Caenorhabditis elegans: one gene and its partner. The protein of the gene in region 1 purifies or fractionates together with the protein of each later gene. This does not show direct contact. Each region holds a gene or a part of one and is shown on either strand. Other genes may lie near its edges.

The links.
Region 2: the proteins of pptr-1 (region 1) and F54D11.4 fractionate together in Caenorhabditis elegans (co-fractionation; one large-scale study listed by BioGRID). This does not show direct contact.

What each region holds. Positions count from the first base shown.
Region 1 is NC_003283.11:16,355,411-16,359,334, forward strand, and holds the start of pptr-1 (Serine/threonine-protein phosphatase 2A regulatory subunit pptr-1), read left to right. Parts: upstream 1-2,110; 5' UTR 2,111-2,241; coding exon 2,242-2,402; intron 2,403-2,452; coding exon 2,453-2,523; intron 2,524-3,427; coding exon 3,428-3,726; intron 3,727-3,924. UniProt on the Caenorhabditis elegans protein: Probable regulatory subunit of serine/threonine-protein phosphatase let-92 which negatively regulates the insulin receptor signaling cascade composed of daf-2, age-1, akt-1, akt-2 and sgk-1 by promoting the dephosphorylation of akt-1 on 'Thr-350'.
Region 2 is NC_003283.11:4,614,065-4,617,988, reverse strand, and holds F54D11.4 (DEK_C domain-containing protein), read right to left. Parts: upstream 1,839-3,924; 5' UTR 1,823-1,838; coding exon 1,605-1,822; intron 1,557-1,604; coding exon 1,246-1,556; intron 396-1,245; coding exon 331-395; 3' UTR 212-330; downstream 1-211. Other genes in the region: Protein sumv-2, read right to left, coding at 1-42; Y61A9LA.10 (Bms1-type G domain-containing protein), read left to right, coding at 2,181-2,229, 2,276-3,306.

The DNA of each region.
Region 1 (3,924 bases):
AAATTACCGGAAAAATTCATATTTATCAGCAAAAATGTTTCCTTATTTTTTTCCAGAAAAAAATATTTTAAAAAAAATAAATTTCGGTCCAAAACTATAAAAAATCGATGAAAATTCCGCAACAACAACAAAACTTTGGAGTTACAGTACTCTTTAAAGGTGCACGCCTTTTCGTATTTAACAAACTTTTGTCGTGTCGAGACCCGGTACCGTATTTTCGAGAAGACTTTTGTTCCGTATAAAAAGCCTTTTTAAAAATAATTTTAAGTCATTTCTCTAATTTTCAATCAATTATTTCTCGGCTAATTTTTTGTGTAATTTCTTCCATTTTTTAGATATCAGTGCTACTATAAACTTTGCTTTCGCGGCGAGACCCATCCCACTAAGCCTCTGCGCCTTTAGGTAAAAGTTTCAGAAGTTTGCGTTTTAATTAAGCTTTTTCTATTCATCTGAAAGTTGTGCAAATTCTCACTTTTTCTCCCCGTATTTACTTCCACCCCCATAAACTGCCCCTCCTCTTCATTTTCTTCACGTCTCCGTCGTCTCCAGTGGCCTGTGATGGCCTGTGTGCGTATATTATTCCTTTACTTCTCTCTCTCTCTCTCTCGGTCTCCCACACTCTCCGGCCTTTCCGTGTGCAAATGCGTGCGCGAGTGCGCACGACGTGTCTGCGTCTCTCGACGTCTTCTCAGTGTCTGCATCACTGTGCACTCCGGAATGCACACGAACTCTGCTCGCGCCGCTCACAAACGGCGCTCATCGGGTGAGAGATTGTCTTTTTTCTCTCGATCAACTAACTCTCTCTGTGGCTGGGCAGAGTGAGAGAAGACAACAAAACGTTGACGTTTATACCTCGTGTGAGAGCGAGAGTTTTTTGTCTCTTTTTTTCAACTTTTTCACTGAATTTATTAAGCGATTTGGAACATTGTTCGTGTTTTTTGTAGGGAATAAAATATAATTTATGCGCGAACTGCGTAGGTCATGCGCATGAAAAATTAAAGGATTTTGCTTTTTTAGACTCAAAATGCGCTCAAATAAACGAATTTTGTAATGAGACTACTCTTAAATTTCCCGAAATTTTTTATGGAGGCTTCTTTTTTTTAATTCAGACCTCGAAGTTCAAAATTTCGAAAAAACTTGATAATTTTTAAAAATTAGACAAAATTTTCGATTTTTCCAAAAATTTATATGTCGTAGCGGTAGGAAATTAAAATTTTTTCCGACACGAAAAATTGGCAAAGCTAGTTTTCCAGCTGGATTTTAGATAAAAATGCCCAGTTTTATCGATATTTTCAACCGCCATAGGTAAAATTAAACGAAATTCGTTTATTTTGGCACATTTTTACACCAGCAAAAACTGTCACTCCTCTCTCAAAATTTATCAATTTTCCCCGCGGTTATCGCTAAAAGTGAGCAAACCAGCAAGAAATACAGAATTTTCGGTTGTTTTATTTTTTTTTAATTTTTAAAGCAGTTTTTACGCTGAAAACTCTGAAACTTCAACTAAATTTCGACGAAATTCAGTTTTTCCATCTAAAAAAACAAATAAAAAACAAATTCGCAAGCGTGCTCCATTGATAAATTTGCGGAGCGGGAATTTGAATCTAGTTTTTCTTGTTAAATGGTTTTTTTAATCAATTTTGTGATAGTTCTCAAAATTTCACTTTTTCTGTGTATTGGCCCCATTGCCCATTGCTTTGTTCATTTAATGAAGGCATTTTTGCAAATTTTTACCACAAGGAAGCTTTAAAAACTAGAAAAAACGCGGCAAACCACCGATCAGTAAGTGCGCTCCAATGTAAATCGGAGATTTTCTCGTTTTTTAATTTGTTTTTTACGTTAAATCGATGTTTTGTCTACAATTTGAGCGTTTTTCCTGCGTTTTTTTCGGTTAAAAATTGAATAAAATTAAATAAAACCCATTTCAATACATTTTATTCCCGAATCTGATCACTTGTCGACCTACATTGCCATTTACTTTCACTCTCTTCTTATCATAATTTCGATAACCACTGCCTATCTCTTTTACACCATTCCGCGTTAATAAAAACCCTCTCTCTCTCACTCTCTCGCAATAAAAAATCAATATATATATATATACATTTTGCAGAAGCGCCCAGAAATCTCTCTCTCGCCGTCTGCTTCTCTGCTCCCTCCTACACGAAGTTTCAACACTTCGCTCGAACACAACCAGGGCGAGAAGACGTTGAAGAAGATAAATTCTTTTAATCAAAAAAAAAAATGCACGGAAGCGGGCACAGTCTAACGGGCGCTCCGCATCAAATTCCGCCGCCACGGACACAGGGAGCCGCCACCGGTGGCCAACAACTCTCGGCGACAGCTAATCAATTTGTTGATAAAATCGATCCGTTCCATAATAAAAGAGGAACTTCTAGACGATTGTGAGTGGCTGGTTTAATTTATTTTTATCGATTTTTCCCGATATTTTCAGGCGCATCAACAACAGCAGCCGATATAATGTTGATTCGGCTCAAGAACTCGTACAATTGGCGCTCATCAAAGGTGATTTTTTTGGATTTTCTAGATGAAAAACCGAAAAAATTTCGAAGAATTGAGTAAAAAATAGCGAAAAACTCGCATTTTGCCACCCTGCCGCAGATTTTGGCAGTTTTCAGTCGATTCCAGGCAAATATTCAGGGAAAATGTCCAAAAATGCTAATTTTAGTGAAAAAATGTTGAAAAATGCTCGATTGGCCTGAAAATTAGGATAATTTTCGTTGAAAAGTTGGAAAATAGCCTACAATTGTCGGAAATTGTCCCAAAAGTGTGAATTTCGACTTTTATACAAAATTTGTGATTCTTTTTAAAGTTTTTAACGAAAACTTACACTATTTTCAAGTAAATCAACTTTTTTATGTTGTATTTTTACATTATTTCGTGAAAATTTACCTACATCGACGGGAAAACGCGTTAGAAATCGCGAAAATCTTCAAAATAAAGGAATATTTCGATGAAAATCGATTTTCGGTCGCTGCAAATTCGTAAAAATGGAGTTTTTAGTCTTTTTTTTAAAAGATTTTTTGACAAATCGGATAATTTTGAACCCAAAACTAAGAAAATTTGGTCTTTTTGAGCCAAATTTTGAACTAAAATTCTGAAAAACGCCGTCTGAAATCTCTAAAATCTGCAAAAATTGCCGATTTCAAATTTAGCCTTTTTTCAGAATATTTGAGCCGAAATTGTCGGTTTTTTTTTGAGCCGAAATTGTCGGGTTTTTCAGTGAAAATTTGCCGAAAATCCCTGCTAAAACCCCGAAAAAAGGCCTAAATCATCAATTTTTTAAAAGAAATTCAATTGCTGCTGCAAAATTTGAGATTTTCGCCATTTTTATCGAAATTTGAATTTATTTTGAGCCTTTTAAATCAATTTTACCGCTAAAAATCTTTAAAAACTTCAATTTTTCCAGATACTGCTGCAAATGAGCAACCGGCTCTCGTTATCGAAAAGCTCGTCCAATGTCAGCACGTATTCGATTTCTATGATCCAGTAGCTCAACTGAAATGCAAAGAAATCAAAAGAGCAGCTCTAAATGAGCTCATCGATCACATTACATCGACAAAAGGAGCAATTGTTGAGACAATTTATCCGGCTGTCATTAAAATGGTTGCCAAGAATATATTCCGTGTACTTCCACCATCAGAAAATTGTGAATTTGATCCAGAAGAGGATGAACCGACTTTAGAAGTCTCGTGGCCACATTTACAGGTTGGAAATGCAAGAAAAACCCGAAAATGGCTCCAGGAAGCCGAAAAATGACAAAAAAAAATCGAAAAAAAAATGCAATTTTCAGAAAAATAGAGCAAAAAGTGCATTTTTCACTAATTTTTGGTCCAAAAAATTGACTTTTTCGACTGGAAAATTATTAGTTTTCCTTTTGGCAAAAAAAAACCCCGATACATCCTG
Region 2 (3,924 bases), about 12 Mb from region 1:
TGCTCGATTCTTCTTCGGAAGAGATTTCCTGCCGGGTTTCATGGTGTCTGGCTGAAAATTTAGAAATTAATTTTTTTTAAAAATTAAATTAATTATTTAATTGCCTAGGCCTCGCCGCGAAATCAGAAGTCTTTGTTGAAAAAAATAATTACTTTGAAATTAAGATCAATTTTTTCAAAATTCAAACATTATTAAAATAGACTTCGTGGTGAGACCTTTGAACTATCATTTATTAGCGAACGGGGAGGGGGGAATGGGGGCAATGACATGGTGTGGTATTGGTTTTTCGATATTTTAGAGGAAACAAATATGTGTGTTTTAAAAAAGTAATTAAACCATTACAGGAGGAGCTGCTGCCGAAGAAGAATCACTGATGTTAGGGAGGGTTCCGGAGACTGAAAAGGTACATGATTAGGCACATACACTCACACACGGCCTCCTGGAGTGTTCATAATTATTAGAGCGCGCTCGCGCTGCACACCTCACGAACTCCAGAATTTGCGGGAACTCGTTCCGCGTGGACATCAGTTTTTTGCTATTTTTGGCTTCTATAGAAAATATTTTTGATTTTTTGTTTTATAATATTCTTGAGAAGCATCATCCGAATTGAAAATGTGTAAAATTCTGAAATTTGGCCGAAAACTGAAAGTTTTACAGAAGGAAGCCACTACAGTTTTTAAAAAAATGTATCAGGATTGCCAGTTTTACGATTTATGCGTCGTAAAATATGTCATTTTGTAGAGAATTAAAAAGTTTCATAAGAACTTTCGTTTGAAATTTTAATTCTTTAATTTCTAATAAAAAAATATTCAAAAAATCAACAATTTTAGGTTAAAATCTTATTCCTTCAATTTTAAGTTTTTAATGAAAACAATTTTAAAATTTCAAACGAAAATTCTTATGAAACTTTTAATTCTCTACAAAATGACATATTTTACGACGCATAAATCGCAAAACTGGCGATCCTGATACATTTTTTTAAAAACTGTAGTGGCTTCCTTCTGTAAAACTTCCAGTTTTCGGCCAAATTTCATAATTTTACACATTTTCAATTCGGAAGATGCTTCTCAAGAATATTATAAAACAAAAAATCAAAAATATTTCCTATAGAAGCCAAAAATAGCAACAACTGCTGTCCCCGCGGAACGAATTCCCGCGAATTCTGTAGATCATGAGGTGCCGCGCGAGCGCGCTCGAATAATTATGAACACTCCAGGAGGCCGTGACACAAAAGGTTCTTCTTACGCTCGGTAATGATCTGATTAACAGTGTCGGAAGGCGTCGGGGTCTTCCAGTCTTCTGGAATATCGAAATCAGTGATCCCACGGCCCTCTAGCGCCACTTTGAACTGATTAAGACTCTCGGTGAACTCTGCTTGGGAGGCGATTTTGATCTTTCTGGCGGGAATTGAAGTAGCGTCGTTGGAAACTGCTGGACGAGGAGTGAGAATTGATTTGCGCTTCTTGGTGACTGGCGATGGTGAGAATCTCTTCTTGGCCTTGTTACGCTTCTCACGTTTCTCGGTAGATGGGGATCTTGGTGATCTTTTCGGCGTTCTGAAACTAAAATGTTGGAAAAATATAAGAATTTGAATTATTAGAGACCTCTCCGGCTTTGAATGAACAATTTCTTCCTCTTTTACTGGATTTTTAGCAGCAGAAGCAGTAGAACTTTCGATTTTCGCTGGCGTGGTCGTTTGTTTTTTTCTTCCCAAAGTTTTTGGTGTTTGTGATGTAACTGAAGTGGCGGCTTGTGATCTACGCGTGATGCGGCTAGAAGTGGGCTCGACGCCGAGGTCGAGCTCCATATCCAATAAGTCCATTACAAAAGTCTGAAAATGGGAAAATAGCGTGTTTTTTAGATTTTTTGTGTTTAAAAAGGGCATTTTTATTAATTTTCTCGAATAAATTTCAATTGAAAATATGAAAAATCGATAGAAAACGAGAAAAAAAGGAGAAAAACGAAAAAATTCGCGGAAAAAATGCTGGCGCGTTTCGTGACACTGACGCGCACGCCGTGCGCGTCAGCAACCAATTTATTTTATTTTTTAATACGAAATATAATTTCTTCCGTTTTCCTCAAGATTTTTCCGTAAAGTGTTAGATTTTTTGCTCAATTAAATAAAATTTAAATATTTTTAATCAAATAAATAATTAATTTCACTATTTTAGGTAACAAAAATGCCGCCGCCAGCTCCGTTCGAGGGGCAAAAGAACAAAGGGCACAATGGTAAGTCAATTACAAGCTTTTTACTAACTATTTTTCACGTTTACAGTCCACAAAACTGGAGGAAAAGCAAAAAAGCGAAATGAGAAGGAGCCGAGAGTCAAGGGAAACAATCTGAAAGCTTTCACTTTCCACTCCGCCGTATCCGCTGGAAAAGCGATTCGACGAGCTGCAGATCTCAATGAAAAGAAGAAACATGTTCTGATGATGGACAGAAAACCCATCGAAACACCACCAATCATTGTAGCAATCGTTGGACCGAGTAAAGTCGGAAAAACGACACTTCTCCGGGGTCTTGTCAAGTATTACCTCCGTGATGGATTCGGAGAGATCAATGGTCCAGTGACAATTGTAACTGGAAAGAAACGTCGTGTACAGTTCATTGAGGTCAAAAACGATATTAATCATATGATTGATATCGCGAAAGTCGCAGATTTGGTGCTTCTAATGGTCGATGCATCGTATGGATTTGAAATGGAAACCTTTGAATTTCTAAATATTTGCCAAGTGCACGGAATGCCACGTATTATGGGAGTATTGAATCATTTGGATCTTCTCGATGGAATCTCACGTGTCAATAAGACCAAGAAAATTCTGAAACATCGTTTCTGGACGGAGCTCTACCAGGGCGCGAAGCTTTTCTACATGACTGGAATGATGCATGGACAGTATAAATATAATGAGATCCATAACCTCTGCAGATTCATTTCTGTCATGAAATTCCGTCCGATGGTGTGGAAAGATGCTCATCCATACGTTCTTTGTGATCGTTTCGAAGACATTACCAACGTCGAAACTCTTCGAACGGATCCACTCATCGATCGACACATTGCCATGTATGGATGGGTTCATGGTGCTCATTTGAAGAATCATTCGTCGATTCATGTGCCAGGTGTTGGTGATATGAGGATCAGTAATGTCACGAGTCTACCCGATCCGTGTCCGCTGCCTGATGAGATTAAGAAACGAGCGTTGAATGAGAAAGAGCGGAAAGTGTATGCTCCGTTTTCTGGATTAGGAGGTGTCATTTATGATAAGGATGCGATTTATATTGAGTCAAAGAATGCTCACAATTTTAATGTAAGATATTCGGGATTTCAGCGCAATTTTAGACGGGAAACCATGTTAAATAAATCAGCATTTTTCATTAAAAATTAGTGATAAATATGGAAAAATTTATTTCAAAATAACATTAATCCCTGTTCAAACATCACAGAAAATGCTCAAAAATGGCTTAAAAGTCTTGAAAATTTTAATTTTAGAAAAAAAAGCTGAAAATTCATAATTTTAATGTAAGATATTCCGAATTTTGAATTATTTCAGCTCATTACCGGCAAAATTCAATTTTTAATCAGATTATTATTTATGTTGATGAAAAAAAACAGATATTTCTTCTAGAAAGAGTAAAAATTACCAAAATTTAAGGTTTTTTTTCAAAAATAGTTGAATCTATTGAAAAAACGAAAATTAAAATTTAGATTCTTGTAAATTTGCAGATTTTTCAGATTTTAGATGACTTTAAGAGCTTTTTGCAGAAAAAAAATTTGCTAAATTTTGGAAAATTTTCATCTTAGAAAAAAATTTGAATGATCGCAGACGGCCTTGAACATCCTTGAAATTATTTGAAAAAAAAACTGCAAAAACTCACAATTTAAGCAATTTTACGAGCTTCTATTTAAAAATTACACTGTATAAATT